Linked DNA regions of Struthio camelus. The protein of the gene in region 2 purifies or fractionates together with the protein of the main gene of each other region. This does not show direct contact. Links are inferred from orthologs where the notes say so. Each region holds a gene or a part of one and is shown on either strand. Other genes may lie near its edges. The genes, in order: HRAS and MTHFD2.

Evidence for each region.
Region 1: the proteins of MTHFD2 (region 2) and HRAS purify together in Homo sapiens (co-immunoprecipitation; 4 studies listed by BioGRID and IntAct, with this or other methods). This does not show direct contact. The link is inferred for Struthio camelus from reciprocal best matches to the Homo sapiens genes MTHFD2 and HRAS.

The regions. Positions count from the first base shown.
Region 1 is NC_090946.1:15,868,734-15,883,488, forward strand, and holds the start of HRAS (GTPase HRas), read right to left. Parts: upstream 5,315-14,755; 5' UTR 5,173-5,314; intron 5,053-5,172; exon of another isoform or gene 4,964-5,052; intron 4,675-4,963; coding exon of another isoform or gene 4,541-4,674; exon of another isoform or gene 4,206-4,540; intron 3,984-4,205; exon of another isoform or gene 3,474-3,983; intron 2,989-3,473; exon of another isoform or gene 2,923-2,988; coding exon of another isoform or gene 2,612-2,922; exon of another isoform or gene 1,748-2,611; intron 1-1,747. Other genes in the region: LRRC56 (leucine-rich repeat-containing protein 56), read left to right, coding at 2,612-2,922, 4,541-4,674, 7,645-7,763. UniProt on the Homo sapiens protein: Involved in the activation of Ras protein signal transduction. Ras proteins bind GDP/GTP and possess intrinsic GTPase activity.
Region 2 is NC_090968.1:1,084,824-1,099,785, reverse strand, and holds the start of MTHFD2 (bifunctional methylenetetrahydrofolate dehydrogenase/cyclohydrolase, mitochondrial), read right to left. Parts: upstream 7,537-14,962; 5' UTR 7,300-7,536; coding exon 7,178-7,299; intron 4,508-7,177; coding exon 4,323-4,507; intron 3,449-4,322; coding exon 3,326-3,448; intron 2,843-3,325; coding exon 2,690-2,842; intron 2,612-2,689; coding exon 2,504-2,611; intron 2,118-2,503; coding exon 2,025-2,117; intron 874-2,024; coding exon 748-873; intron 36-747; coding exon 1-35. Other genes in the region: MOB1A (MOB kinase activator 1A), read left to right, coding at 8,549-8,562, 13,190-13,356, 14,706-14,799. UniProt on the Homo sapiens protein: Although its dehydrogenase activity is NAD-specific, it can also utilize NADP at a reduced efficiency.

The DNA.
Region 1 (14,755 bases), on a different chromosome or scaffold from region 2:
AAATGGGCTAATTTAGAATGAAAAGGCATGGAAAGAGAGGTAGAAGAAAGAGGCAGAAAAAAGACAGAAAGAAAAGATGATCTGCAGAACAAAGAAAGAACAATATAGGGAAAGGAGAAAGAGTTAAAGGAAAAGTTAAAGGAAATAGATACTGAGGACAGTTCAGGAAAAGATAAAGCATGAAAAAGTGGAATGAAAACTGGAAAGAAAGGGTAGCCTAAATAAAGCAAGAGGAACGTGCCATGGCAGAGCAGTTGAACAGCACTTAGCAAACAGATCATTTGTTTAATCTCAGCCGTATTTGTCAAATAATTTATTTAATACTCTCTTGTGGTATCCAATCAGCTATAAAGCTGATCAAATACCACTTTATAAATGTATTATTAGATTAATACAGGTGAAATTCAAATATATTCAACAGTTTTATTTTTATATGCTGTTTAATAAGCCCTGCTTATAAGTTTACACTTAAAAATGTTAAATAGAAAAGTGATAATAAATTACAATTAGATAAGAGTGCTCAGTACACAATCATTTTCCTTTTCTAGACTGACAAAAAGCACAGTGACATAACAAATCTTGAAGGATGGCAGACGAGACATGGCTTGACTGCCTTTCCTACCTCTTCCCTTCTTCAACACCTTCCCTCCAGAAAGAACCACTCTCTGCGTGTGGTAATTTTTGTCTCAATTAAGGAATTCCCCCATATTCAACTTCAGAAAGCCTTCTTGAGCCAAGAGCACAAAGTTTCCAGTCCCTACAGTCACAAATGTGTTAGGGAGAACCAAGCATAGGTTAGCATGAAGGTAAATTCAGCATGGGCAAACAGCAGGAGGGGCAATGGTGCTGTCTGGCTGCAGTCTCTGGAAGTAAATGTTTATGTTTGTGAGATTATCTTTGCCTCCCTCCAACACAGTTAGACGAAAGAGACTGATGTGAAAAATGACGTACTGGTAACCTACTCTCACCAGGAAAAGCTTCCTGAGTACCAGTTGCCATTTTCAAATCTCCTTAGGAGAACTAAGATTAAAAAAGTCTATCGGCAATTTTCAATCTGTTTTTCCATTTGTGAACTCATATAGTTTTGCAATAGTAACACAAACCCCTCTATACATTTCACATATGTAGGCCGCCGTAAATAACAGATGAACTGGGCCTCCCTGTGTATTTTGTCTCACCTCCTTGGAGTGGCCTCTGGACCCCTCGAAGGGTCCTCAGACCACAAGTGGAAGGCCACTGAGGCTGATGAATGCCATACACAGGGAGGGCCCTGCAGAGCGCCTTATAAAGTGACACGGGGCTGTCAATGAGGAAACTGCGACTGTCACTTTCTAACCTGACAGAGAAAACCGTAGGAGGTTACTCCCACTACTGCTGCCCATTCACAATATACTGTAGCCAAGAACTAAATTTACCGCAACAGAGAGCCTCACCAAGGATAACTCCTTGGGGCTATCCATCAGGTGGAAAAGTGTCCCTCAGGCTGTAAGTCCCGTTTAACTGTTATGACATAAGTGATACCCCAACCTGAGGTAATTATTGCTAATTTTTTGCAAACATGGAAGGTATTTCCTCACATACTTAATCTTCTTTTTATTGTTACAAAAATAAGGAAAGTTCACTGCGACCAAAAAAGACACACTGACACCTCAAAGCAGACTTTTCTCCAGTGAAAACACTGCCAGTCTCCAGACCCGCCAAGGAGACTGAACGAGGAATTCAATCAGCATCAGCTGCACTGGTGCTGAAATGGAGCAGTTTGCATGTTATTAATCATGTGGGGGGGAAACCTCTGAGGAGCAGAAAGAAAGGACTGTCAAGCCTGAACACATGGAGGGGAACTCACACCTGGATTCAGAGTCATGGCTCTGTTACAAACACCCTGTGCAAAATCAGGAAAATCATGCAAGTCTTAGTTTCCCAGCTGTAAAATGAAAATAATCTGGAGTTCTGCAAGGATGAATACATTAGTAATTCTGACCAGGAGAAACCAGTGCCCATCAGCCTTATCACTAACCACCTGGACTTCACTGGGAAGAGCAACCTCACCATGGGCCCAGTGCAATCCCCCTTTGCACAGGTGTAAGGCATCTATGTGAGGCTGAAGGGGGGCAACACGATTGGCTGAAAACCCAGCAGAAGCAAGGCTGGAGGAGATAAAGCATCCCTTTCTCACATTGCTCTCTCCCAGTTGGGGTGGTGTCTCTGGGGAAGGTAATACCTTGGTAATCTTGTGTGTTCAGGTAAGACTTTGCACTAGCTCTCTTGTAATTCTTTAGTTAGCACAAAGCCTAGTGCCTTTTCTCTGTTTAAAACTGGTTCTTACTTGAACCTGTAAAATTTACCCATGTACACCAAACTGGGATGATGAACCCTTAGTAGGGGCTTGTATCTTAAAGATCTCCCTAGGAGTAACTTTCATGGTGAGCAGGCTCAAGGGAAAAAAAAACATTAGGTCATTTAAACAGTCAAGCTATTCCTAATATGTGCTATATAGTACTTGTGCTTCTAGCTGTTCTAAGCATTTCTCCAGTCACTCCAGAGTTTGACAGTCCTCTCTGATTCCTAATCAGCTTCCTTTTGTCTACAGGCAAGCCCCGTTGCTTCCCGAATGCTCACGGCAATTAAAAAACATATCCCTGCCCAGGATCCATATGGGCCGAGGGAGCTGCCAGAAGACCCCTGCGCCTGCTTGGGGCGAAGAGGTAGCACGGCCGGGGCCCCTCCCAATGCCCTTGTGCAGCAGGCAGGGTGGAGGCAGCCTCAGCGCGCCGCAGAGCCCCGGCGGCAAACCTCCCTCAGCAGCAAGGGAGGTGCTGACGGCTCCGCAGAGCTCCCACACGGGGCCTGGCTGGGTGGCACCTACCTGCACCTGCGTGCTGCGCCTCACCCCCACCCTGAGCTGGGTGATGCCTTGTGCTGGTGTGTGTCGGGGATGACAAGCGCTGCTGAGGCTGGCGAGTTGTGGGGGTTTTTTCTTTCCTTTTCTGGGGGGGGGGGGGGAAGACATCACAGAGGTGGAGGGATGCAGGGGCTGAGGAGAGCCACAGCGTGCAGGGAGTGTGGCTTTGGGGGGGGGATGCAGAGCAAGGCGGCTTGCCCCCCCCCCCCCCCCCCCCCCCCGCGGCCGCGCAGACAGCAGAGTCATGGCGCGGCCGGGCGAGCAGGTGGATCTGCGCCGCTCCTCCGTGTCCCCCGAGCCGCGGCGGGGCCCTCTTACCCCCTCCCCAAAAACCACAACGGGGGGGGGGCCAGCCCCACTGACGGGGGTGGGGGGACACGACAAACTTCCCGGCGTGCGCGCGACTGGGGGGGGGGGGCCGCCGCCCCGCTAACAGGTGGCCGCGCCCCACCCTCCTCTTTAACGGCCGCCGCCCCTCCCCCCTCCCAACGGCTGCGGCCCTCGCGCCCCCTCCCTTAACGGCTGCGCCCGTTCCCCCCCCCCCCCCAACCGGCGGCGGCGGGTCACTCACCGGCTCGCACGCCCCGCCAGGCGGGAGGCACCTCCTGGAAGGGGCGGGAGGGGGGGGAGGAGGAGGAGAGGCGGAAGTTTAAAGGAGAATAGTATGCTTTTTCTTGCAAAATAAAAAATAAAAACAAACAAACAAAAAAAAAACAAAAACCCCTCCTCTCAGGCTAAAAACCGCGCCGCCCCCCCCCCTTCCCCTCCCTCAGCCGCCGGGGGCTCCCGCCCCGCTCAGCCGTGCGTCGGCCCGGCGGCGAGGTGAAGTTTCCACCGCGGTGGTGGAGGCGCCCCCGGCGTGGCCGCGCCCGCCCCGCATTGGCACCGGGCGCCGGGGCGCTTTGCCGCCGCCGCCGCCGCCGCTACCGCCGCCCGGACAATGTGCGAGCCGGGGCGGGGGTTTGGGGAGGGGGGGGGGGCAGAGCGAGCAGCGGGAGCGGCCGCGGGAGCGCGCCCCGCCGGCCGCCCGCCCGCCCGCCGCACACGCCCAGGCTCAGGCGCCGCGCCTCGCCCCGCCCACACGGCCGCCTCTGATAGGCGGGCGCCCGCCGCCGCCGCCCTTCCCCGTGGGCTGAGCCGCCCGTCAATCACGCGCCGGGGCCCGCCCCCCTCCCCCGACCCCGCCCCTCGGTCTGGTGGGGCGGCGGCTGCTGCCGGGCCTCCCGGGGGCGTCGGTGTCGTCCCAAAAAAGGGCGGGGGGGGGGGTTAGGGGAGCTGCGAGGCCGGCGGCTCCCCCGTGGGTAGAGCTGGAGGGAGCTGCCTTTGCGCTGCTGTCCGGCAAACGGCTGGGGTGGGGGGGTTTTGGGGGGGGGGGCGGGTTGGGAAGGGTAAAGGGGGGTTTGTCGTGTCTGCGTTGTCCGGTGGGTGAAGCTGTAGGGGCTGAATCCCGCGGGATTCAGGCGGTTCTTGCCTGGCCTCACGGGAAACAGCCAGAAAAACAACCAACCAAACAAAAAAAAAATCCGAATTATCTGCAGGCGGTTTAAGCCAGCCCGCGAAAGCAAAGGCAGCTGGGGCGCGATGAGGCTCCGTAGCCGAAACAAGGCACCACCTGAACCCACTCATCCTGGTTGACAGGCAGACCTCGGCCCCCCGGGGCGAGCGGCCCTGTCGTCGGGGCCTCTCCGGGTCCCCCCCCCCCAACTCGGAGCAGGAGCTAAATCCGGGCTCGCAAAACCCTCCGCCGACCCGAGCTGCTTCTGCCGATTCAGGTACGCCGGGGCCCAGCGCGCCTCCGCTCTCGGGCGTTTTACTACCGCGAGGCACTGCGGTTACTCTAGAAAAGGGGATATTGGGTGGCGTAGACCCCCCCCCCCCCCCCCGGCCGGTCATCTAGGAGCGGGCGCGAGGGAGCTTTGAGGCAGGACAGCAGAGCGTGTCCCCCTGGTCGCGGGGAAAGGGGCGTTTGCTCTAACGTACCCTTCCAGCGCGCCACCACCCTATGGTATTTCCCTTAAAAAAACAACAACAACAACAACAACAAAAAAGGTAGCTGAGAACCTGAAAACGGGGTTAGAAACGGTTGATCTAGGCACCCCGGTTTGACACGGGTAGCGAAAAGGAAGCTGGCGCCCTGCAGAACTCGTAGCTGGAGCGCTGCGTAGATGAAGCAAGTTGCAAGGACGGACGGACGGACGGACGCCCGCCGAGGGTGGCGCGGGTTTCGTTCAAGGCGCGTCCGAAGCCACGGGCCGAGGCTTTTAACCTACCTCGGAAACGCTCGCTCGCTTCTAAAACGCTCTCCTGATCCTGAGCAACCCCTCGGCTCTCCGCAAAAGCAGGGACCGCGGCTGGCAGAAGCGCAGCATCTCTCCTGAGCGCGCCGACAGCGGGAGCAGCAGCAGCAAACACAAAGGTGATGGGTTTCTTCGCAGGCACACGCACGTACGCGCAGCGCACCGCCTCTCTGCACTACCTGTCTCGTCTTGTCTTATCCGTTTCTGGTGAGCAGGCAGGGTACTGGAGCATACAGAAATCCTGCTTTTTGAAGCACCCTGGAAGCGGGCTCAGTACGTTTTTTCAATGCCTAGGTGGCCCAGAAGAGCTGATCAGCGAGCAAAAAACAAATAGGTGGTAGGTAGCAGACACAGGTATGGGCAAACCTTAGTTTCCTGCTTCGCCCTGACCTACGAGTACCAAGAAAACAGAAGGTGGGACTGAAACTGCCTCTTGCTTGTTCTTTGGTGCCAGATCGTAGCAGGACATAAGATACCTGAGGACTGTTTTTTGTTTGCAGTCTGCTGCAAGACAGAGGCATAATCATCTATTGGTGAGTCATGACCACGCTATCACATAGGGATGATGACACAAACTTGTGAGGGCAGAGTAATATAGCTTAAAAATGTCTCTCTCGCTCTCTCTCTCTCTCTTTTTTTTTTTTAATAAAAAGCAAAACATTGGGATGAGATCCTCAGTTGTTGCAAAGCAGCATAGCTCCATTGCTTTCGGCAAAGCTGGGCTGATTCATGCTTGCTGAGGATATGGTCTGTTTCGTTTGCAAAAAGTCATCCTGCCTGGCCGGACCCTTCCTTTCTCCAAACTTGAATTTAACGCTAGTAAAACGTCCTGGCCTATGTGAGGCCTCTGGAAGGCAGAGCCCTCTTATTCAAGCACAGGACATGCAATGCCGCTGTAACAGCAGTACAAATGCCACCACCGCAAACCGCTGGTAACTCCTCCTGTGGTGTCTCCGACTGGACCATCACCAAACTCTTCCAGCGGCCAGTGCGGTTCGTTGCCCTATGGCAAACGTCAAAGCAGGCAAAGAGAAACATGCAGCTCTCGAGGAAACCCTGCCGTGACACTAACTGTTGCAAGCCTTGCTTGACGGGAGGAAGGGAAGGCTGGTCGTAAATTGGGTCTGCTGACACTTAGAGCAATGAAGAGGAAATGGGGAGAATCTCAGGGGGTCCTGACTTCCACGGTAAAAGTGCCAAAACGGAACTTGCTGTGGGGTTAGAGAGCTGCTGAGGCTTGCTCTGTCATCCTGATGCCTGCAGGTTTTCCTGACTGTCATCAGCCTGCAAACCGGAGCCCATAACTCACGGCCGTGCTTAGCCCATCTAATGTCAGTAGGGCTTTTTGTAACAGTACTCCAAATCGAGTCCTGGGAAGGTATGTCGCCGAGTCTTGCAAGCGCTCTGACCCCCAAAAATAGTTGCTTAGCGTTGCTATTCCCCTTTAACCTCGGCAAGAAGGGAGTCATAGACAACAGGTGAGCTCAGCTTTCCACCGTGTGATGCACAAACTTGTGCCAAGAGCTCATTTAGCACTGGATCTTCCTATTCGGCTGTAGATCAAGGCTATCCCAAAAGTTTTTTTAAAGGATAATCTTTTCTTAGAGTTATTTCTGGTAGAAACACCCTGGTGACAGCCAAGCTGAGCTATTTTGCCTATTCCGCCGTGCCGCCCCCCCACCCCCCCCCCGTGAATATTTCTTCTTGCTGCCATCAATATCACCAGCAAAGTAAATAACAGTAATTTTTTAAATATACAAGGGGTTTGAATACATCCAGATTTTCCTCTCAAGCCTGCCATTTTGCACCAAGAGAAACACTGGTGTAATTAACTCAGATAAGCTGAATTTATGCCAGCGTAAATGAGACCAGTCACGGTGACATAAGGATGTACGTTCCTGGCCAGCCTTGGGCTGCCATCTGTCTCTTCTCCCGGCCAGCCCTTCAGCGCTGCTGCCTGTCCTCTGGGCCGGTTCCACACACAATTTGTGATGCAGAACAAGCCCAATTTGTCATCTCTGCCTGCTCCGTTGGCCTCACCCCACCCCGAAGGGTCTATCAATTCTCAGCAGACACCCAGGGGAGGGTAGTGCTGTTAGTTGCCTTTTTTGTTGTTGTTGTTTTGGAGTGTCTGCTTGTGTCTTCTGTTCCTTTGAGGTATGGGCGATTACACCTAACTTTGTGTAATTTTGCAGACTGCTTCTTTCCATGGTTTTGAGTTCTCCCTACACTCAGCTAGTCCATTTTTGTGGATTTTTTGTTTCTTCTGTGTAACTGAAACTTTCTTGGAGTGTTTGGAAGGGAGACCGTATCTGTATGCTCTTCTAAATATTGTCTCTGGGAGCATATTGAGAGCAGCAGAGATTCTGGGGTGATCTTTGCTTTCCTGCCATACCAAACTCTTTATGATTTATTTGTTTATTTGTTTATTTATTTCTCCTGCAGAAACACCAGACTCGGTAATCCTGCAAGCACTTCTGCCATTCTGGCATGTTTCTCTTGCCCATCTCTGTCCAGAGCTTAGAGGGTCAGTAATATCATGGCAGAAAGCGAATGGATATGAGGTAAAGTTTGAAAGTTTTTTGAGTTTTGCAGAGAATGCAAATTGTTTCCTTTTTGTATGTAACAATGTAGCACCAGTAACTTGCCATGGCAACCAGCTTATGAAAGGGGGGAAAGAAAAAGATCATCGCAAGGTGCTTGGTTGCTATAGCAAGGAAAAAAGCTGAGACCTTATCCTTTTTGTTCACTGGTGGACTGTGCATCATCTAGGTAGCAGAACTTGTCAGAAGAAGTTTGTAGTGCAAGTTAGCAGCCTTGCCAGCCTCTCTGATACTTGGATCAAAACCGAAGTGCAGTCAGGAGGAAAGAAGGAAATAGTCAGAAGAATTGGAACAGGACTGGATTTTCAGAAATGCAAGGCCAAATCCATTTCCGCACTAAGCTGATGCAACTCTACAGATGCCAGTAAGGGATAAACCTGTTTCTACTGAAATGAATTTGGCTCACAGTCTCCAAAAGCCTCTGTTTTGGGTTCTTTTCACTTTTTTTTTTTCTAAAAGGGAAAGGTGTCTTCTGCAGATCTGGGAGCATTTTGGAGTTAGCTTGGGCAGAGGATGGAGTAGGCTCGAAGGCTCCTTCTTCAAACCCATCCTAAGGATGCTTCTGGGAAGGGCAGGCCCGTTGATGTACAACTTATTTATGGAGAGAGCTGAGACCTGACAAAGGGAACTGGTTAAGGACGGAGAGGGGAAACCTTAAGAGCTGTCACTGTGGGAGGAGATGAAAATGGAGTTTTAGCTGAGGGAGGATGATTTAGAAAACTGTTATGTATGTGAGTAGTCGGAGAAGCCAATGGACCTCTCCTGTGCTTAAGGTAGGCACGTTTGTAAATCTTGTGGGGGGATAGGAGCTACCTGAAGTGTTTGTTCTGTGCCTAAGCTGGATGGGTTGCTTTCTGGGGAATACCTTTGAAAAGTGAAAGAAAGAAATTAAAGTTTCTTAATCCCTAGGCTATTGATATGAGCTACAAGTAGCACTGCTCCAATTGGGTGATGGAATGAAGTGTATGCTCCTCCTCTTTATTTAAAAAACATTCCCTCCCAGTTCAAGTTTAGGCTGCTGGTAAAGTAGTAAGGTGGTCAAGCTTGCGAAACGGTAGCCAGCCCTCCGAGTAGCCTAGGGGCTTAGCTGAATTTACAGATAAAACTATTGAGACTAGTGGACAGTCCTTTTCCAACTTCCTGGTGAGGCTGTAGAGAAAATATTGCTAGATCACAAGACCCAGCAATAGCACTACTTGGAAAGCAGCCTTGGAGAGAGGATTTCAATGTAACTGATAAATCTATATGGAGATGCAGGGCTATAGTTTACTCCTGACAATGAATTGCTATACTGTAAATGACTGACTATAAAGACACTGTGGGGAAAATCTGAGTCTTCTGCAGCACACGGAAAGCCCTAGATAAAGGAAAGTCATTGATTTAAAAGAGAAAAATACAAGCAAGAACCATTTAACACTGTAATTTAACCCAGTCTGCTGGAGAGCCTTCCTAAAGTCTATGAGCTAATCCTTCCTGCAGATTGCACCAAAAAAGACATGGCCACAAGCGACATCACAAACGTGAAATTCTGCAAGCAGGGTCATCCCGCAGGGCGGGTTTCTCAGAGGTACCTCAGGCTTGGAAGCAGCGGTCCAATTGAGAGACCACATGGAAAGGAGGGGGGTGGGGGGGGAGGAAAAGTAAGACCAGTCCAGTATTTTAGGACATCATCAGCAAAAGACACTGAACGGAACTAGAGATATTTCCTGTACTAGTCAATTAACAGGATAAAACCCTGAATTAATTAACCCTGAATCATTTGACAAAACCTTCCTCATATCATCTCCATCAAAACGCCACGTTGCTGCAGATGACCCAACCAGAGCATAGAGCCACTTTGTTTCTAATCTCCAAAATACTGGCATTGAAATTGGATTAAATTCTACTAAATACAGTACTCAAAAGCCCCTTTAAACTAAACCAAATGAAAACATCCCAGAACATTCTGGGTAGGCATAGCAAAGTGACTGGTTTGGAGAGTTATCTGATCCCGGACGGGATCCCTCCTGTCATGTATTTCCTTTTTGACAGAAACAAAGAATTCGGGCAGCGCCTTGCCAGGTGCCTGACCCAAGCACCACTAGTGTTAGAAATAGGAAGGATTCCTATTGACTACAGTGGATTCTGCTAACAGTTAGATTTGATCAGTCGGAAACTGAACATGGAAACTCAAGGACATAAGATGTTGTGGAGTCGCCGAGGGGAAGGGCTTTGTAATCTGAGCTTGGAAGTGGAAGGAGTTCTCTGTTCCACGGTTTAAAAATGCAAACTATTACTGCTTCCTTTTTTTCCTGTAAAGTAAATTGGAAGGGGGGGGGGGAAAGAAAAGACGAGACATAATTCAGGGACTGGTCACTTCTCATGGGCCAGTCTCCCCATAGAAACGCTGTGCGAATGAACAAGAATGTTATCTCCATATGCATGATATGCAGTAGTTTGTACTGGGAAGCCCCCAGCTGGCTGGATGGTGGGATGTTGTGGATTTCAGATTCTGCTAGCGGGGTGGAGAGGCGGGAGAGGAAATCTCGATTAGATCTCTGACACTCTATTTAGAAGCTGCACAATTGCCTACCAGTTGCAGTCTGGTCTGAAAAGCACTGCCCTCTACAGAAAAGTGCCCCATTTGTTTCTGTGGGTGTTTGCTTAAATCCCTAGCAAATGTTCTTTTTGAAGGTTTTGTGCTTTTCTTCGTGGGTTGTTGCACCAACTCTAGAACGTGAGTTACTTAAAAATGGCACAGAGCCCTCCATGGAAAAGCCCCCACCTGGCCAAGAGTGACCAGGGTTGATAAACATCCCACGTCTGCTTCCACTCACTCCCAGGCCTCCCTGCTGAGATTGCCAGGGTGGATAAGCAAGGGTCAAACAAGGTAGGAGGTCCAGTAACGTAGAAATCTGCAAGGTAGGAGCCACAGTGACTTTCCTGGCAGCAGTTTGCTGGCGTGTGTACAAGAGCTTTTGTTAGCTGTCAGCTTGAAACGAGTGTCAATCATTCCCTCAGAGCCTGATCTTCGAATCACTGCCCTCGGAGGGAGGTTTTTTGCTTCGTCTTCAGACAGCAGTAACTCAGGCCTTTGGAATTAGAAAGCCTTGTTTTTCATTAAACGAGCCCTCACAGCGTTTTGTCCCGTGCAATTTTAGTTTTCAAACCCTACAGAAAAGTTTGAACGCTTTGCAGTTTGCCTGCTGGCAGTTTCTTTATGGGGCGGTTCAGATCACTTACCATGCTCTGTGTCGCCTGTGTCCTGTTTGCTGGCAGGAACCAGAATGTGAGGTGTGGAAACCAGAGGAGCCGCTAAGGGATGCCTTGCTCTCTGTGTCATTTCAGCACCTGCCGATGTGCAACGCGCTTGTCTTTGTGTAGTTCAAGGCTTCTCTGTACCAGATGACTTTGTACTTAAATCTCGGACCATCCCACGTCCTCTCCTGGAGGCGACACTAAGATTATTCTTATTCTTTTAAAAAGAATCTTCTTGCTCCCGAACGCTGTTTCCCCCCACCCCAACATTGAGGAACAATTGTTAAATACATCTGTTTCTCACAGAAATTTCAAAGCAGTGCTGCGCAGCCTGATTCAAGCGTGCACACAGGGTAGAATTAGATAGAATTGAAGACATTTGTGTTTATCTAGTTAAACTACTAGTTTCTTTCCCTTTGATTGCTTTTTTTTAATTGCTGGCAGCCCATTGTCTCTACCCCTGCCACACATCCCTCCTTCTCATCATCAAACTCAAGCTGCTCATCCTTTGCTGCTCTTCTGTCGAGCCCGTCCCTAAATCCTGTTTCTCCTCCTTCAATAAGGAGCTGCCCTGAGCCTTAGTTCCCACCTTTGCAAAGCGAGTAAAGCTGATGCAGAATAATACTCATTTAACAAGTAGCTGCCCTGTAGACTGGACAGGAGGTTGGCTTCCAGCCCTCTACCATAACTCCCTGCTTCTTCAGTACTCTCGAGCCTTTGGTGCATCCGCTAGCCCTATATGCAACCTTCATAAAGCTGGCAATTGCTTTCCTGGTCCCTTTCCGTTATGGAGAGTGGCTTTCCACTGTGCCAGCCTCTTCCTGAGTCTCTTGCTGGGGATTTCCAGCTCCTTCTCTGTCCCCTTCAGTGATTACCCAAAATTTACCTGGACTGTACTGCTGTAGTAACAAAGCCCATTGCTGACCTCAGCCTTTGTGTTACTGAGAGCCAAGGCAGATGCTCCTGCAGGGAGCTGCTTGCTGTCAGAGCCCGAGATCCTGAGCTATACTGCACCCTGTAAGCTCGTGGTGGCAGCGGTATGCCCACCCCGAGTGAGGTTTACGTCAGGTATCAGAAGAGCTCCTTAACGGTTAGCATAGTTAATGCACAGGCGCAGCTTATTTATCTAGGCTGTCCTGAGAGACCCTAGCGCTAGAGACCCTCACCCTGGTGGCGGGTCTTCCTATACAAGCCCCTTCAAGTACAGCGTGGGGGTAGAGATCTTGCCTTCAGTCAGAGAGATGGTTTAGTTGATCTCCAGGTCTCTTCTACATCTCTTTCGCATAGATCCTCTTTTTTGCTGGCGGCTCCCCCCCTTCCTTATCAGAGGCCTTTCCAAGCAGGGCAGTCATGGTCCCATACCGACCCCATAAAGGGGAAGGGGTCACCTGCCTCACTCTCTGTCTGCATCAGCCCCTTTCTCCTGCACCTTGTCCGTCAGGGAAGGCAAAGTACGGAAGAGGAGCTGCAGTCGCTCGTGTCTTGCAGGGCTGAGGCAGGGCCATCGCCCGTTTCCTAGAAACTCTTCAGGCGGGTGTTTGTGTGCTCGGCAGTGATGTAAGTGGGTGCGTGCGCGCATCACTGAAGTGCTGGCTGATGGCTTCCAGAGGGCAAATGTTAAACGTTTTTGAAGTCAGACCTCCTGTAAGATACCCCAGCTGAGATGTCCAAATCAACATGTTGCAGATTTCTCCTCTGGTCTCAGGATCTTGGCTTTGCTTTTTGCGTTTCCAGTACTTTGGGCAAATGCTGAGACTGATGCACTGAAATACTCATCAGAAATGTTATGTGGATCCGAGTAATTGATTGAATTTTAGCCACTGACTATGAAAACACGAGTAAGCTAATGTTAATCTACAGATGTGGTATTACCACTGAGTGATTTCCCAGTCCTCATTAGCAAGGTGCTTTGATAACAGCAGAAGGCGTTAGCTATAGTTTCCCTTCAGTAAGCTGTTTAATCATTGGGGCTTACCGGCAGCGGGATTTGGGAGACTTACACGATCGCAAAGTGAATGAAGAGTAATATAATACCCTCTCTAGCTTCTCTGTGATAGCGGACAGAGGAAGGAACGGACTCAGGACTGCTCTGCTCCCCGATTTTAGGAGAGACTGGTGTTTTTCAGGGAGCATGTGCTTAGGCACTGCGTGGTGGGAGTGAGGACTGAGCAGGAGGCTTCTGCCTCCTTCGTCAAGATCTTCCTCCTTTTTAGGAGCGTACTTGTAACAGCTTATAACAGCTCTCCTGCTGGGATCAGCACATGCCAGGGAACTTGTCATAGCATGTTGAGCAGCATGTTCTTGTTGGCTCACTGAGGTCAGATCCAAAGCCTATTGCAGACTGTGAGGAGGATTCATGGGCTCGTTCAGTGGCTTTTGGACTGCTCTGTGGAGGCAAAAATACTACAGCGGATAGGTATGAGAGGGTGAGAGCTGGTGAGGGGACTCTGCCTTGCCACCCCATTTCACTCGGAAGGCAAAAGAGATCCTGCATCCCAAGCCTGTATATCTCAGAGCAGTAAAATCAGAATGAATCCTCCTTGATAAGTATTCAACTGCACTTTCTCCCCTGGTTTCTGATCCACCTACATCCCAGCCTTTCTGAGGATCGCGGGTAATGAGAGGAGAACAGCGCTGCCTCTGTGGTCATCTCCGCGCCCGCACGGAGCTGCCAGTCTAGCCGTGATTTCCAGTTGCTCTTTTTAAAATACTCTCGACCGCTGAGCCGTTCTCATCTGAACATCTCAGACGTGAAGTAATCCCCCTAGCATTTCTAGAGAAAAGCGGACTGCTATTAAACCTGTTCTACAGGTGGGTAGGCTGCGCTCCAGTCTGCCTGAGATCACAAAGCATATTTAAGGGCCAAACTGCCTGGGCTGACACGTTCCCACAGCAGCAATGACTGCCTAAGAGGAATATTAACCTACTTCACTAGAGGCAAAGAGCGCCTAGGCAGAGGGGAGGGCTGGCCACACAGCCTGCTGCGACTCTGTTTATGTGTGTGCACACATGACGACAAAGTAAATAAACCTAGCTGGCATCCTGGCTCGAATCCAGGAGTCCCGAGAACGAAGACTCGGTGTACGGCGAAGCTAAATGCCACGCTCGGCCCTTTGCGCCGAGCCATCAGGCAGGTGGGAATGTAAAGCTCCCTCTGGTTGCTTGTTCCTGAGTCACCTTCTTTAGCGTTTATTATTGCCTAGTGTGTTAGCGTACTGCTGGCTGTAATAAATGACTTCATCCACTGCAGCGGTGAGGACACTATTAAAAATTAACCCTGGCAAATGGTCCTGCATATTTTTCAGCCAGAGCCAGGCAAGGGGGAAGAGGAGAGGAGAGCTGTAGAAACCTGATTTTCAGAAAAGGCAAGTGTTGAGGTTTTATGAATGTGTATGGTTCGAGCTTCAGATGAATCGGTGCAGTTGTTGGCAGTCAATGACCAATGTTCAGAGTGTTTAAGGCACTTTATAAAGTTAACAGAAATATTGCAGGGGAGGTCAAAGAATGGGATAAATCTGGCTTACCATGTGGAGGTGTAATTTATTACCTGTTTGCAGAAATAAATGAATTTATCACATGGATGTTATTACCATGTATAAGGAATGCAGTCCATAACTGAAAACTCTTCAGTTTTGGTTCATGTATTGCACCCTTTTCTCACAGTATCATACTTGTAACCATATCCTATCTCTAGCAGCATGCAGAGAATATTTACA
Region 2 (14,962 bases):
GACTGGAGTGATGTAGCTGGCTTTCTTCTTCACCCCTGCAGGAAGGAGAGTTGGAGCTTAGCAGGTACATCAGGAGCAGTAACAGTCACCAAGCTGGCACATGAAGCTGCAACCATGAAGCCGAAGTCTTTGGCTTGCAGTCTTCAAGTCAGACTTGAGAAACCAATGCTCTTTTGCCCTGTTACCCAGGAGAGGGCACACTATACTCTGACCATCCCTGCTGCTGACCAAGCTTAACTTCAGAGGCCAAGTCAGGGGAAAAGCCAGGTCTGATAGTTCTAGACCAGCAGTCTACAGCCAGAGAGCAGATGTGCACCTCCTGCATGCTCCTGGCAGGGTCTACAAAGAAGCACTAACAGGCTGAACATTTGTAGTCTCTTCCACAAGCAGGTGTTGGTGTCTTTTGCCAGGTACCTAGAGATGCAGGGCACATCACAACAGCCTGTCTGGGCACTGCTGCAGCTAAGTGAGGAGCAAAGCCAAGGAATAGCAAGCCAGAAGGTAAGTCCTGCATGTTTTCATGAGGTGGAAGCTAGAGGCAGGAGTCCAAGTATGAAATAAAGTAGCTAAAGTGACCCAACTGCCCAAGTTCAGGATGCACTCTGTGCAACAGCACACGCACCAAGCACTGCAACTTCAGCAGTGGTCTGCATCTGCTCCATCACACAACCCAGGACTTTCTCCCCTGCTCCTCAGCACCCTAAGTGTTTAAACACTCAAACTGCCAGATGCCAGAGCCTTTTATACCTTCAAAATCCACATCTCCAACCAGTTTGTGTTTGGCAGTGACAGGATCCTGCACTCTAGTTATGCCCACATCAATAACTGCAGCTCCTTCTTTGATCATGTCAGCTGTAATCAGATTGGGTATGCCTGCATTAAAAAAAAGACAGAATTGCATGCTTATACTGGTACTAAACAACTCCCTGCTCCCCCTCATCCCATTTCTACATTGTCCAGATAATGTAGGTTGACCCATCTAGGCCTCCCTGCCTCACAAGGGCAAGTCTCAGTTCACCACAACCCAGTTGGTGGAGGCATTGGCTTCACCTAAGGGCGATAAAACCCCCAGCATGGCAGGGAGGTGGGTAGGGAACAGCAGCTGAGGGCTCAGCCACCCTTTCAGGGTGGGGTATGTTTGTCTGGTTTTACCAGATACTGCCTCAGCTGACTGCAAGCTGAGGAATTCAAATTCCTACACCCCATTCAGCTGGTTAACTCTTTAGGGCAAGTCCTGCTCTGGTTTGATAACCATCTTTGGCAATTTACTCAGCTTCTGCTACCTTTCTTCATCTGCCAGCAGCGTGGCTGTTGTCCTTACATGCAGTGCCACCTTCAACACCACTACCACTTCTGATCCTTTCAGGATCTTGTTTCTAACCTGCATTTCTCTCCTCCCTCCCCACAGGCTTACACCAAGCTTCTGCTGGCAGGCACAGAACCTGAATTGGCAAAACACTTCTGCAGATGAGCTATCCCCATGCCTAGGGCAGAGCCTGGAGAAGAGTAAACCTGCGTGAGCAATTCCTCAGGCTCTGAAGATGCTAGAGCAACTGTCCTTCAGCATTTCACTGTCTCTAGGTAAGCAGACCCTGTTTTGTGTATGTTTGTGGGAAATACAAACTGTCTGAATGTTTAACAGAGCCTGTCTGTAGCTGGTCTTTGGATCTCGTCAGGTGCTTGGGAGCATACCAAGTCATTCTGCCAGGTGTTAATTTCAAAGACAGACCTGCAAACAGCTCTGCTGGTAAGATCAAGCATGTGGCTACGCTTATCAGTCTAACCTGGCAGGCTCAAATAGCCCCTCACCCACCTTCCCAGCCATTGCCTACAGCATCTGCAAACAGCCATGGTAGAGCCAGGCTCTCCCACACTACCAAAGCTGCTTCAGATGGAGAGGCCCCCAGGACATCCGATACCAACTGGATTGTCTCCTCAGAGCAGATTCCCCATCATAAACACCACATGTAAGCATCAATGCAGTGTCTTCTGTGCACCTTGCCTACTCCAGAGTTTGGTCTTACCTGCTGCTGCTACCACAATATCAGCCCGAATTGTGTGTTGCTTCAGCTGCTCCTTGGGAGTGTAGCGGTGAGATATTGTTACTGTGGCATCACCTGCAAGAGCAGTTACATAGAATGTTTTACCCATGGGTACTACCTGAACCCAGCCATTTCTAACTCTTCACCCTCAAGACCAGCCTGGTCCATCTCAGGATGATCAGATCTTGATGACTAACCACAAGGAGCAGCCTACTGAGAGGCCAAGGACTACTGAAGATGGCCCTGAAGTGTTACAAGACTGCATAAGGGCAGAATTTTCAACTCAGCTGTGGAGGTCACAAGCGCTTGAGGCCACAAGCGGCCATAACCCACAGGATACACCAGTCCAGAATGCAGTCCCAGGACTGGTTTAGGAGCCCAGCAAGGACCATGTGAGAAGCACAGAGGGCTTCCTTCTGCAGCCATCTGGGGTGCAGGCACTGAGGCTGCCAAGCTCCTACCTCCTGGGCGCTCGTGCCTGCCATCTGTATGCAGCAACATGGCAATGGGCATTCCCACATTCTTCGACCTGCCAGCCACCACCACGTTCTTCCCCAGCGTCGGGATGCCTACAGCACACAAGACCGAGTCTAAGACAAAGACGCTACTGTTATGCTAGACAGCAGCCAAATATTGCAGCAACTTACCAGTCCTCTTGATGATCTCCCACACCCCCCACGGGGTAGCTGGCAGCATGGAGTACTGGTCAAGGCACATACGCCCCACATTTATCACGTGAAAGCCATCAACATCTTTGTCTGGGGTCACAGCATTGCAAACCTTTCGCTCATCAATATGTTCTGAAAAAATAATCCAAAAGCTTTAACCCTAGGGATCAGCCAGAACCAGCTCTTTCCAGGCAGCCAAAGTCTGACCTGCTGCACCAGTCCCTTTGCCCCTCTGGGCTTTGGAAGCTTGAAGCTACTGGAAACTTCCAGCAAGTTCAGAGCTAACAGCTCCCCCCAGAAGGGGACTGGAACCACACCGGAACTGCAGCGTCTCTAATGCAGAAAGGATATTTTTAGACAGCCTCGGTGTCACAACTTCAAGCTTCTGGCTCAGAAAGATGATACTGCCCATACAAGAATAGACTTCTGCAAGGCCAGCAGCATAGGCAGCTGTATGGTGGAGCTGCTGTATCAATTTCTTTGAGCTGCAGCATAGCAGATTGCCAGCTATCCTGTGACATGAGAACTCCTGTGCTTCACCTCATTCTGGCACCTACAGACCCTTCAAGACTTCTATAAGAAAAACAGGAAAAAGATAGAAGTCTAGCTACTCACCAGGCAGAGGAAGCTGCACTAACAGGCCATCCACATTGGCATCATTATTTAGTTTGCTAATCAAATCCAGTAGCTCCTCTTCAGTAATAGAAGCTGGCCTGAGGATTGTTTCACTGCTGATTCCTGTGCAATCATTCAAAGTGCTGTATTAGAGAGCTGTATGCGCACAAGCAGGAACCTTATTCCTCAACCCAGTCCAATCGGACTCTCAGCCGTGCATCATTGCTGTACCAAATCCAATATGAGAATACATACACTCCTTGGTGTTACAAGCAAGACTTGTGACAGCCTCCAGTCTGGAAGGCCTTGAAAGTTAGGGATAAGGACCATTAGTTAGTCTGTGTGCAGCCACCCTCAGGAAAGACTGCCTGAAAGTCAAAGCCCTCCCAAGTGCATGGAGCCCTTTGAGAAACCTATGGGGAATGTGGTAGGATGAAGATGCAGCTGCATTTCCCGTGGACCCTCCTGACAGAGTGACAAGGGGATGTTAGCCTAAAAACTCAGCTCCAGAGAAGGCTTTAGCAGCACAGTACCCTATGAGGGGTTAGGCCATTTAGCACCCCAACCCCCCTCAGCATCTTTCCTAGAAGCATACTTAGGACACCTCAGGCAGCCTAAGGAACAGGATCTTGGCTTGCAAGACTGGAAGGAGTCACAACAAAGTAGCAGGAGTGCACTGGATGTCAACTGCATTTTGATTTTTGCCTTCTTTCAACTGCTCAAAGTTCCCTGCAGGCTGTCCTGTGTGGACCCGAGAGGCCTGCCAATTCACAATACATAGCTTGATGTTGCATTTTCACATTAACTACACCCCAGTATTACTATGAAAGCAGCCAAAAAGTAACAGCAACTGCTGGGGTAAACCCCAGACTGGTGAAAAGCTGCCAGATAGCCGCATCCTGAAAGCTTCCCCCCAGCATAGAGGGCTCCCAACTAAAGCAAGATATTAAACAGTCACTTGCTCCATTTTTGGAGAACAGCAGAGTACAAGACCTACCTACGTCAGCAGCTGCTTTGGTTTTGTTCAGTACATAGGAGTGGCTTGCAGGATTTTCACCAACAAGAACAACACTGAGGTGAGGTCTCTTGTTTCCAGCCGCTACCCACTGTTCCACCTCATGACGGGCTTCCTGTCTGATCTGCCGGGCCAGCTTCCTTCCAGAAATTACAACTGCATCATTGCTGCAATAAACAGAGTGTTAATGAAGCAGTCAGCACTGTTAGGAGCATCAAATTCTAGCTTTGGGCAACAACCACCCAGGAAACAGGTGCCCACCACAAGGCATTACAGAAACAGCCCTTTCACTTCAGCCACACACACAGGTCTGCTGCAACTGTAGTGCAAGACATGATTTGCAGAAAACACCAGGTAAGCAGCACATTTCAATCTTCTAGTTTACAGCTTTGCTGCCTGAAACCTTGATACCGGACAACAGTAAAACTGTTGCAAGGACCAACTCATTGTGCAACCTCAGAAAGCCCGCAGACTACTCTTCTCTGGAAGGGCAAGAGTCCAGACTCTTGTCCAGCACATCAAGTCAGATACTACTAGTTTCCTTTTTTAGAAGGTCAGTCATCCGTCCCTTTCAAAGGCACGACAGCTTCACTACAAAGGACTTGCGTAAAGCAGAACTCATTCCACCAAGTGGAGTTTCCACTAGAGAGGTCTATTGAGTAACTAGCTTGTTTGACACAGCACAGGAGGTGCTGCACACTGTACTTCTGCACACAGCGCTGTTGCCAGAGATCCCCATCTCCCACAAATCCCTTGACAAGGATCTCAGCCCACCTAGCACAGCACGTACCTTGCACACACCAGTCTTGTGCCCTCCCTTTTTAAAGGGGGGCTTCCACCGTTGCAGTAGTCTTTTCAGACAGGTAAAGCCATACTGAGGATACTTGGTTTTACCCCCTGCAAGGCTTTAAGACGCCAACTTTCTGCCAGAGTAGGGAGGACACATTTGCCTGCTGTTTGAACCACACAGGAACAGCTCCTTGCAAGCATTTCTAGGCTAAATTGGTAACAGGAATATATATGGTTCTTGCCAAGTACATTCCAGGCAACTGGATACCCTGCAGTACATAAAGGCTTGCTCAAAATACAGCTGAGGACACGGCTGCCAGGCCTCACTGCCAGCTGGCTATATACTAACTGTTTGCTTTCCTTTTTCTTCAGGTTCTCACTTCAATCTGAAAGTCATGCTCATTCACTAGTTCCTCTGTGACGGGATTCACCTTCCCAAGTGTCACTTCTGGACTCAGCTACAGCATTTGAGCCTTGCTTTCATGCAAGGCCTCGCTACAAGCTCCTTGCTCACTTGCTGGATGATTTTCACTGGCCAAGACAGGACCCTCAGTTAGTCCCCTCACTCGAAGCAGGCAAAGATGCTCCACGCAGCATCACGCGAGGGACACTTTCGGCACCTTCCTGAATCACAAGAACCAGCCAGTTTCTGAAGCAGTCGCCCCGCAAAGCGCTTCACAGCTACACAAGCCTCAGAAGCTACTCAACTCGCAGAAGGTACCAACCCAGGTGAGAAAGCCTTATTGCCAAAATGCTTTGTCGGAGGTGTAGGGGATCTTTTGCTTCTTCTTAATCCCAGAGCTATTCATATAGGTAGCTTTCCCATTACTGAATCATAGCTCATTGCTAAAGGGAATCATCCAAGTCAGATCTAGCTAGCAGTAACCACTGAGAAAAATCCATCTCGGACTAGCTTAGCCTGCTGAGCCTTTTTAAAGCTTGTTTTAGCTTCAGAGCTAAACCTGCACTAAGCAAAAGGAATTACTACAGGCACCTGGCAAGCTACTATCAGCACAAAAGGCAAGTTCAAAAATCAAGCTTTCAGCCCCACTTCCAACACTTACTTTACCAGTCCAAAGACAAATTGAAACAAGAATTTACCAGAATATCCTGGCTGCATAACCCTAGAGGCTAGGGGTGCCAGCCTTGGCCAAGAGGGGAAAGGGAGACACATCAGGCGCCAGCCTGAGGCTCACCAGCTTTGAGGTCTGTCGGGAAGTCCGAGGTTGACAAAGTAAGAACTCAAAGCATGAAACAGCAAAAAAATTCAAAGTGGAAGCAGCCGCTCTCCCAAAGGGGGTTTTTATGGCATTGGGGCAAGCTGTTTTAGCCTCGCGGTGTATTACTGCTCAGGTGATAGCTAAAGAGAAGGAGAAAGTAAATTCGTTTGGGTTTCTTGCACAAAGTCATAGCAGTCAGGGGCACTGAGGGGACACACTAAGAGGGTCCCTCCAGTCCCCTGGCACCACTGAAAACAGGGATCAGTGCTCCTCCTGCCCTGAGGAGGCCCCGAGCCCTCCGCAAGGGGGGCAGCACTGCACGGGGGGCTCCTCCTGGCCCAGAGATAGCGAGGCCTCGGCACTGCCCAGTGCTGCCAGTAAGGTCGGGAGGGCCCCGCTGCCCTGGGGGGCTCCTCTCGGGGGGGGGGGGGGGGTGGAGGCTGCCCCGGGGCAGGGGAGCAGCCCGGGCTCCACACGCAAGGCAGGAGTGGGATTTCATCAGCCTGCACCTCCCGGGGCGGCCGCTGGGGGCCCTGCCTCATTCATTCCCGGTACCGGCGGCCCGGGGACGGGGGGGCTCTCGCAGCCCTGGTGGGGGGCAGCGGGCTGGACCTTCCCCCCCCCCCCACCCCTCAACCCACACCGGGCCCCCGCGCCGGTACCGCAACCGGCGTGGCGACGGCGGGAGGAAGGGGGGGGGGGGAAACCGGGCCCGGTGCCACCGCCCCCCCCCCCCCCCGCCGCCGGTAAGCCCCGCCTCCCAGCCGATAAGCCCCTCCCATCCCTAAATAAGCCCCCCGCCCCTGTGGGGCGCTCCCTGCCGCCTACCTGGGCGCCGTGAGGTGCAGACGGCGGCTCCGCGGCAGCAGGTGGAGGCGGCCGCCGCCGCCGCCACCGGAGCCCTGCGCGGCGCGGCCCAGGGCGCGGAGCGGGCCCAGCGCGGTTGCCATGGCTCTCCCCGGCGCGACGACGGCAGGCGACAAGGGACACGCCACAAGGGATGCGCGAGGACCCCCGCCGAGCCGAGGATGGCTTTATATAGCGCCGCCGTCGGCCCCGCGGCCGGCGGCAGCCAATCGCCGCGGCGAGGCGAGCGGCGAGGAGAAGGTGAGAGATGATTGGCGGCGGCGAGGGAGGGGGCGGGACGGAGCCCGGGCTCTTCCGCTGCGATTGGGTCCGAGGGAGAGAGGTGCTGGGGGGACGGGGTGGGCCGGGCGAGAGGAGCCGGCCGTGTTTGATTGGTGGTGGCGGGCGGGGCTTGTGCTCCGTAGATGGGCACGGCGGCGCTGATTGGCTGGGCCGGAGGCGGGGAGGGAGTTTGCAATAGGGGCTGGGGGTTGCGTAAGCCACGGGCTGGCAGAGGGGCGCTTCAGTGGCCCGCAAGGCTGTGGGGTTGCCCAGGCCCATGGCGGGGGGGGGGGGAGGCTTTTGGGCGGGGCCCCAAGACCATGGTGGGGGGTCTCAGTCCTATAGGGCTGCCCAAGCCTTTGGGGGGGGTCCTAGACCCATAGGGGGACCCAGATGCATGGGCAGCCCAGTCTCCTATCGGGGGTCCCAGGACCCTGTGGGAGCTGCAGACCCATAGTGGGCTTCACTCCTAGATGGGGGGGGGTCCCAGTCCTATAGGGGAGCCCCAGGCCCACACAGGAGCATAACCCAGCCCGTACGGGAGCTCAGTCCTATATGGGGGTCCCAAGCTTATAGGAGTGGCCTAGTCCCATGGGGGGGGCCAAGCCCATAGGGGAGCCTAGTCCTATATGGAGGGCCTCAGACAGGGGTTCTAGGCCCATAGGGGAGGTCCTAAGCCCGTACAGGGGGCCTAGTCCTATATGGGGGGGTCCTAGCCCCATATTGGGGATCCTAGCCCCACAGGGGGGCCTAGCCCCATACGGGCATCCCGGGCCCGTACAGGGCTCTAAGGCCCATGGGGAGGCCTGGCCCCATAGGGTCCTGCAAGCGCCACTGTCCGGGCGGGGCGGTTGCCATGGTGAGGGCTCCACCCCCCCCCACCTCCGGCGTCGAGGCCCCGCCCCCTGCCGCGGCGCTCCCCCCTCCCCAACCCCCGCTCAGTCTCGCGGTGCTCTCGCGAGAGTAGGGACGAGCGGCCGGGCGCGGCCCGCCAGCAGCTGGGGCCCGCGCGCCTGCAGCCGGCGGCGCCGCCTCGCCTCAGCCCGGCCCGGCCCGGCCCGGCGCCTCGCCATGAGCTTCCTCTTGTGAGTGCCGGGGCCGCGGGGGAGGCCGTGGGGGTGCGCGGGGGGGGGTCTCTGAGAGGCCTCGGGGGGTGAGGGGAGGCCGTGGGGGTGCGCGGGGGGGGTCTCTGAGAGGCCTCGGGGGGTGAGGGGAGGCCCTGGGGGTGCGCGGGGGGGGTCTCTGAGAGGCCTCGGGGGGTGAGGGGAGGCCGTAGGGGTGCGCGGGGGGGGTCTCTGAGAGGCCTCGGGGGGTGAGAGGAGGCCCTGGGGGTGCGGGGGGGGGTCTCTGAGAGGCCTCGGGGGGTGAGGGGAGGCCGTGGGGGTGCGCGGGGGGGTCTCTGAGAGGCCTCGGGGGGTGAGGGGAGGCCGTGGGGGTGCGCGGGGGGGTTCTCTGAGAGGCCTCGGGGGGTGAGAGGAGGCCCTGGGGGTGCGGGGGGGGGTCTCTGAGAGGCCTCGGGGGGTGAGGGGAGGCCGTGGGGGTGCGCGGGGGGGTCTCTGAGAGGCCTCGGGGGGTGAGGGGAGGCCGTGGGGGTGCGCGGGGGGGTTCTCTGAGAGGCCTCGGGGGGTGAGGGGAGGCCGTAGGGGTGCGCGGGGGGGTTCTCTGAGAGGCCTCGGGGGGTGAGAGGAGGCCCTGGGGGTGCGGGGGGGGGTCTCTGAGAGGCCTCGGGGGGTGAGAGGAGGCCCTGGGGGTGCGGGGGGGGGTCTCTGAGAGGCCTCGGGGGGTGAGAGGAGGCCCTGGGGGTGCGCGGGGGGGTCTCTGAGAGGCCTCGGGGGGTGAGGGGAGGCCGTGGGGGTGCGCGGGGGGGTTCTCTGAGAGGCCTCGGGGAGTGAGGGGAGGCCCTGGGGGTGCGGGGGGAGTCTCTGAGAGGCCTTGTGGTGAGATGTGGGGTGTTGGGGAGGGGGAGGCCCTAGAAATGAGACAGGGGCTGGAGGAAGGCCTTGTGGGGAGGCCCTGGCAATGCAGGGGAGGGGCCTTCAGAGAGGGTTTAGGGGGCAGCCCTGTGTGTGTACAAGGGCCTCGAGGCAAGGCCGTAGCAGCGTATAGAGAGTTTTTAAGGAAGGCATTAGGAGGAAGTTCTGGGTGCATGTGAGGGCCTTGAGAAATGTTTTGGGCAGAAGACTCGAGGGTTAGTGGGGGGCTGGAGGAAGGGTTTGGGTGTTTGGCGGGGAGGCCTTGGGGATGTATGGAGGAGAAAGCGCTGAAGGGAGACCTCGAGGTGGAGGCTTTGCGGGTATAAGGAGGGGGGCTGAGGAAGGCCTTATGGGGAGACCGTGGGGATGGAAGGTGAGGGGGTTGAGGAAGGCTTTGGGAAAGGCTCTAGGGGTGGTGGGGAAGAGTGCAGTCCTATGGAGGAAGCCAGAGGAGGCCCTGGCAGCGTATATGTTTTTGCACCTACTTCTAAGACCAGCTCCCAGTTTCAGGCTGGAAGGCTGTGGCAGAGGGTGTCTCCTAGAGCCAAAGTCCTGGGATAGGCTGGGGAAGGGAGCTGACTTTGGGGCGGTGGGTGAGGCAGGCAGCCCTGGGGAGCACCCAAGTAGGGTGAATACCCTGCCAGCCTATGGGGGGAGGAGCCTTTGTGGTGAGGGAGGCCCTGGAAAGGGGGTGTATTGCAAGGACTAGTCCCTCCCTCTTGGGGAGAATTTGAGGGGATTGGTCTTACAGGGGAGAGATGAGGCCCTGCAGATAGGGGGGGGGGGCTGCATCAGGGTTGTAATTGCTGAGTGTCTGCAGGGATGATTCCCAGTAGTGGGAGGCTCTAGGAATTTGTGCATGGGGAGGGCCTTTGGGGCAAATGGGGTGACGTGCTGTGGCGGAAGGCTTGCGAGAGGGGAAGGAGAAGCCCTGGGGTGACTGGAGTAGGGCCTGTCTCTTGGGGAAGCCCTTGGGATGGATGGGTGGAGGCCATGGGACGTGGGAGAGGGTTTTCCAGCGTGTGGAGGAGCGGTTCAAGGTGGTGATTCCGAGCATGGAAAGAGTGGGATGAGGCAGAAAAGAGGAGGGGAGGCCCTTGCTCTGTGGGGCTTCCTTCTGGGTGGGATTTGGGTGGGCCTTGCTGTATGCGTGTGGAAAAGAGCTGCTGCAGCGGAAAGGGCTTGTGCCCTCAGTGTCCGTATTTGCACGAGGGGCTGTGCTGATGGGATGTGGGGCAGCCTGATTGCAGTTGGGAAAGGCATTAAGCTGGCAGACTTTGGTGTATCTTATATGTTTGTTTGGGGTGGGGAGGTGATAGCCTAGCAGGCTGGAGCTGGCCACTGGTGCAGAGGACCGATGTCTGGATATGAGAGCGTGGTGTCGGCAAGCTAGGAGACATGCCGTAGGACAGGCAGGAGTATGCCAGGCGGGCTGAGGCTCTCTGGGTTGATGGGGCAGGACATGCCTGTTCTGATACGTGGGCTGAAGTTGAGCTGTGGCAAATGATTTGGAGGAAGTGCGTGCAAACAGAGAGACTGCTTGACTTTGATGTTTTAAATGTGTCTTTGATGAGCTACAGAGGGTAGGGTGTTACAGGTATGCATGTTTGTAGCTCCTAGCTCTTGGGTGCCGCGTGTGAGAAGGAGTTGGTGACCTGTGGCGCGAGAAGGGGCTGGGGAGCCTTTGTGCAGGGTCAATTACATGCTGGGTCTGCATCTACTGTAGCGTAGCAGGAGGCAGTAGCTTGGTTTAGAGCGAGTTGGGTGTGAAGGCCCTTTATTTCTGCACCAAACAGATAGCTTCACCCACTCTGCGCTCCGCTGAAGTGCTGTCAGTCCCGCGGTAGCGTTGCATCAAGAAGCTTGCACGAGGCACGTGTGAGCCAAGCGCGTCCAGTTGCGTGCGACTTTGAGGCAGGGTGCCAGCGATGCTGAGCTGCGTGTGCCAGATAAGCGTGTTTCCACTGAGTGACTAACGGGAGAAACTTGGGCCCTGCCGTTCGTTTCGTTTGTGCCTCTGCCTCCTGAAACCAGAAGTGATGCTGGTGAAGGCAGCGGACTGCTAGTCTGGACTGTTAATCCAGGAGCGGGACAGGGAGGGCTCTGCTCAGTTGGGTGCCTGAAGGTTCATGGCTGTGATTTAAAGGCATCAAAATTCCTCCCTTTTAAGCCTGGTAGCTGTGCAGTTGACCGCTTGTGTACGCATAGCTTGTTGTGTTCATCTTCTTAAATCGACGTCTGCTAGTGGTAATTGTTAGTTCCTCTTCAGGATTCAGGCTCTGGTGTGCAACGTGCTGCACGGTCTAAAAAGAATTCAGTCCTTTCATCCTGTGTAGAGCCTGTTTTTGGAAGCCTTAGCGTTTGTACACAGAAATGAAGATAATACTGTTGCGGGGGGGGGGGGGGTGCTTTTTTGTTTTGTTTTTTGTCACGGATGTTCTTTAGGGCGCTCTGTGGAAGAAGGCTCAGGTACTGTTATCCCTGTTTTAGGGACAGGGAAATTGGGGTCTGGAGTCACTAAATGATTTGTCTGATGAGCGCAGATGTTCATGCTATGCAGTATGTGAAGACTAACCACAGCAGCAATTTGCATTGCGGGGCTGGAGTATGCGAAGTTGCTATTTTTAGCAGGCGATTTCCTACGCTGTGTTTGAGCAGTAAGTATCTCATATTTGCCCCAGTAAAGCTGATGTAGCAGCAGCCAACAGATTTTTGGTTTTGTGGTTGGGTAAGGTGGTGTTTTTTGTCCTGCCCCCCCTCCCCCTTACCTGTCTGCCAGTATCATTTAAGGCAACTGCTGTTAATCAGCGTTCTGGTTCTTTGCACCAAATGTTTCCTGTGATTTGAAAAGGGTATAGAAAAGAGAATTCGGCATGTGGCTAGAGCGACTGCTAGCTTTTAAGACGAGGCAAAGGATTTCCGTGTCAGCAGAAGGGTCTGTAGCGATGTTTGCACTCGAATACCTGACAAGCTACTTTCCTATGGTAGTCGGGAGTGGGAAAGTGATGTTTCGTTTGGGGGTGGGAAAGCGATGTTTTGTTTGCATGTTGATCCATGTTCCGGTAGCAGGGGCTGAGGTGATGGTAGGTGAGCTGTCCTTCCTTTGCAGAAGCTGCCCCAAGAACAGAGGCAACAACAGTTAATCATGGCACATTAGTGTTTCCCCCCCCCCACACACACACACCTCTAGGCTTGTTTTTTCTGTAGATAAAGTTCTACTTCAAAGCACAGAGATGTGAAACTCAGAGCAACGCTTTCCTTGGCTAAAAGGAGCTATAAATGCTACTCAAATGCAAAATAAGTAGTCATACTTTCTAAAGTATAGGACTTTTTTCACGTGGCTGTGGTTCCACTGTAGGGTTTGTGCGGGTAGGGTCCTGTTCGGAAAGTCGGGGTCAGGTCCCAAAATTGCAAGTAAAGCTAACGTAGGTAACTGTGGACCATCTCTATTCAAAATTTCTCTTGCTAAATTGGCAGCACATAATTAGTGTCTTTTTTGTGAAGCTGTCAAAACTGCTTTGGCCTGCACGTGGACTCTCTTCTCCTCGAAGAGGATGACGAGAGGCCTGGTGTCGGGGGTGAGGGAAAAGGGCAGGACTGCTATATAACCTCTGTTAAAAGTGCTGGACGGCAAGGGCAGATACGGTCACCCGAAGGGAAAGCCGCAGCAGGAGTTAAATATTTCTGAGAGGGGAACGCTGCTGAAGGACTAATTGGAAACGTGTTTCTCTTTTGTCAGTGGCAGTCGATCTTCGAAAACCTTCAAACCCAAGAAGAACATTCCTGAAGGCTCCCATCAGTATGAACTCTTGAAACATGCCGAAGCAACTTTGGGGAGCGGTAACCTTAGACAAGCGGTTATGTTGCCGGAGGGAGAAGACCTTAATGAGTGGATCGCAGTTAACAGTGAGTCCTAAGAAAGAGTAATCCAGCTCAGCGTGGAGGTGGAGTTAAAAATACCTATATATACATCTCTGGTTTACATCCTTAAAAAATGAAATTCTTATCTGTGTCCCAGACATACTGTAGGTAACTGTGTCAAGGAAGGCTGGAATAAAAGGAAAGAGTAAGTTTTAGGGCATGCCCTGACAGCAAACTGATCCTGTGTTGAATAGATGCTGAGCTCAGGAAGCACAAAAAACAACCCCAAAACCCCAAGACAAACCCACGCTGTTGTTTTTTTTAAAGGTCAGGCTTCTAAAAGCAATTAGATTTCTGAATGGTTACATCAGTATTTGGGTGCGAGTGTTCAGTATTGATGTTTTGAACTATAAAGCAAGTAGTTAGCGCTATCGGCTGCAAAAATCACAGCAGCAAACAGCACACGGGGAGAAAAATGGAACTGCATTCACCTCCGTTAAACTCTAGCTTAGAAGGTTGGCGTTATTTTCCATTTTCATGTTGTTATTGTTGCACATGGAGTAAAAATACTGGGTTAATTCTGATGGTTGAACAATTACAGGCAAATTAATTTGCTTTTAGTGATTGCTCTACCTGTCCTTGATTCCTTTAGATGTTAAAGGAAAAAAGCAGTTTCTGAGCAATGGGAGACATAAAGTCAAGCCACCAAGATTCAGCTTAAAGAGGATCTCTTGTATTTGTAAAAACTGTGTGGGTGAAGGTGTTGTCCAGCCTTTTTCTAAAGGCATCTAGAAGGTGAAACAGTCATTTGCAAGTTATGAAAAATGAGAAGAGGGCACGGGGTACGCAGGCAGGCTGCTATTGATCCCGGAGTCCCCTTTTGCACATAGGGAGCGGTGTGCTTTATGTCGCTCATAGAAATGGTGCGAACTCCTGTAGGGCCGGTGATAGCTTTCTTTCTGGTCTCTGCTCTCAAGTAGCCTTTCAAAAAGAAAACTCGGGCGCTAGAAATTGATTTGTCTTGTATTGAAATGAAAAAACGGGAAGGCTTTCTCTGTGGGGCTTTTTTTGATTTTTCCTGATAAATTGCATGCTGCTTTACTGCCACGGTGAAGAGAAGCTTCGTGCTGTGCAAATAGTAAGTAGTCCTAAGTCGAAAAATGAGATGAAAGCTCACCGAGCGAGCGAGTAAAATTCCTAGATTGTCAAAACGTCTCTAAGTCTTTGGCCGCGTGGCATTGTACGGAAGGGGAACGTTTGTTTGTGCAGGTGCACCCCCGCCCCGTGACAGCGTTCCTCAGAGGCTTTGTCGGCTGAATAAAATGAAGTAGTGCTACGGTACCTTTCTGCTTCGCTTTTGCCTTTTGAGTAAACTTGATGCGTTTTCTTTCCAGCGGTGGATTTCTTCAACCAAATCAACATGTTGTATGGGACCATTACGGAATTTTGCACAGAGGCGAGCTGTCCGGTGATGTCTGCTGGACCAAGGTAAGAAGGTTGCTTCGGTCTACAGTTGCGGTCTGCGTGACAGGACGTAGGCGTGCGTAGAAGGAAGATTAAAAAGACCGAGACGTATCTGAATGCACTCTCGCAGTGACGCTCGGCCACGGGCAAAGCGTTGAGTACGTTAGGGAGAACGCGCGGTGTCGGT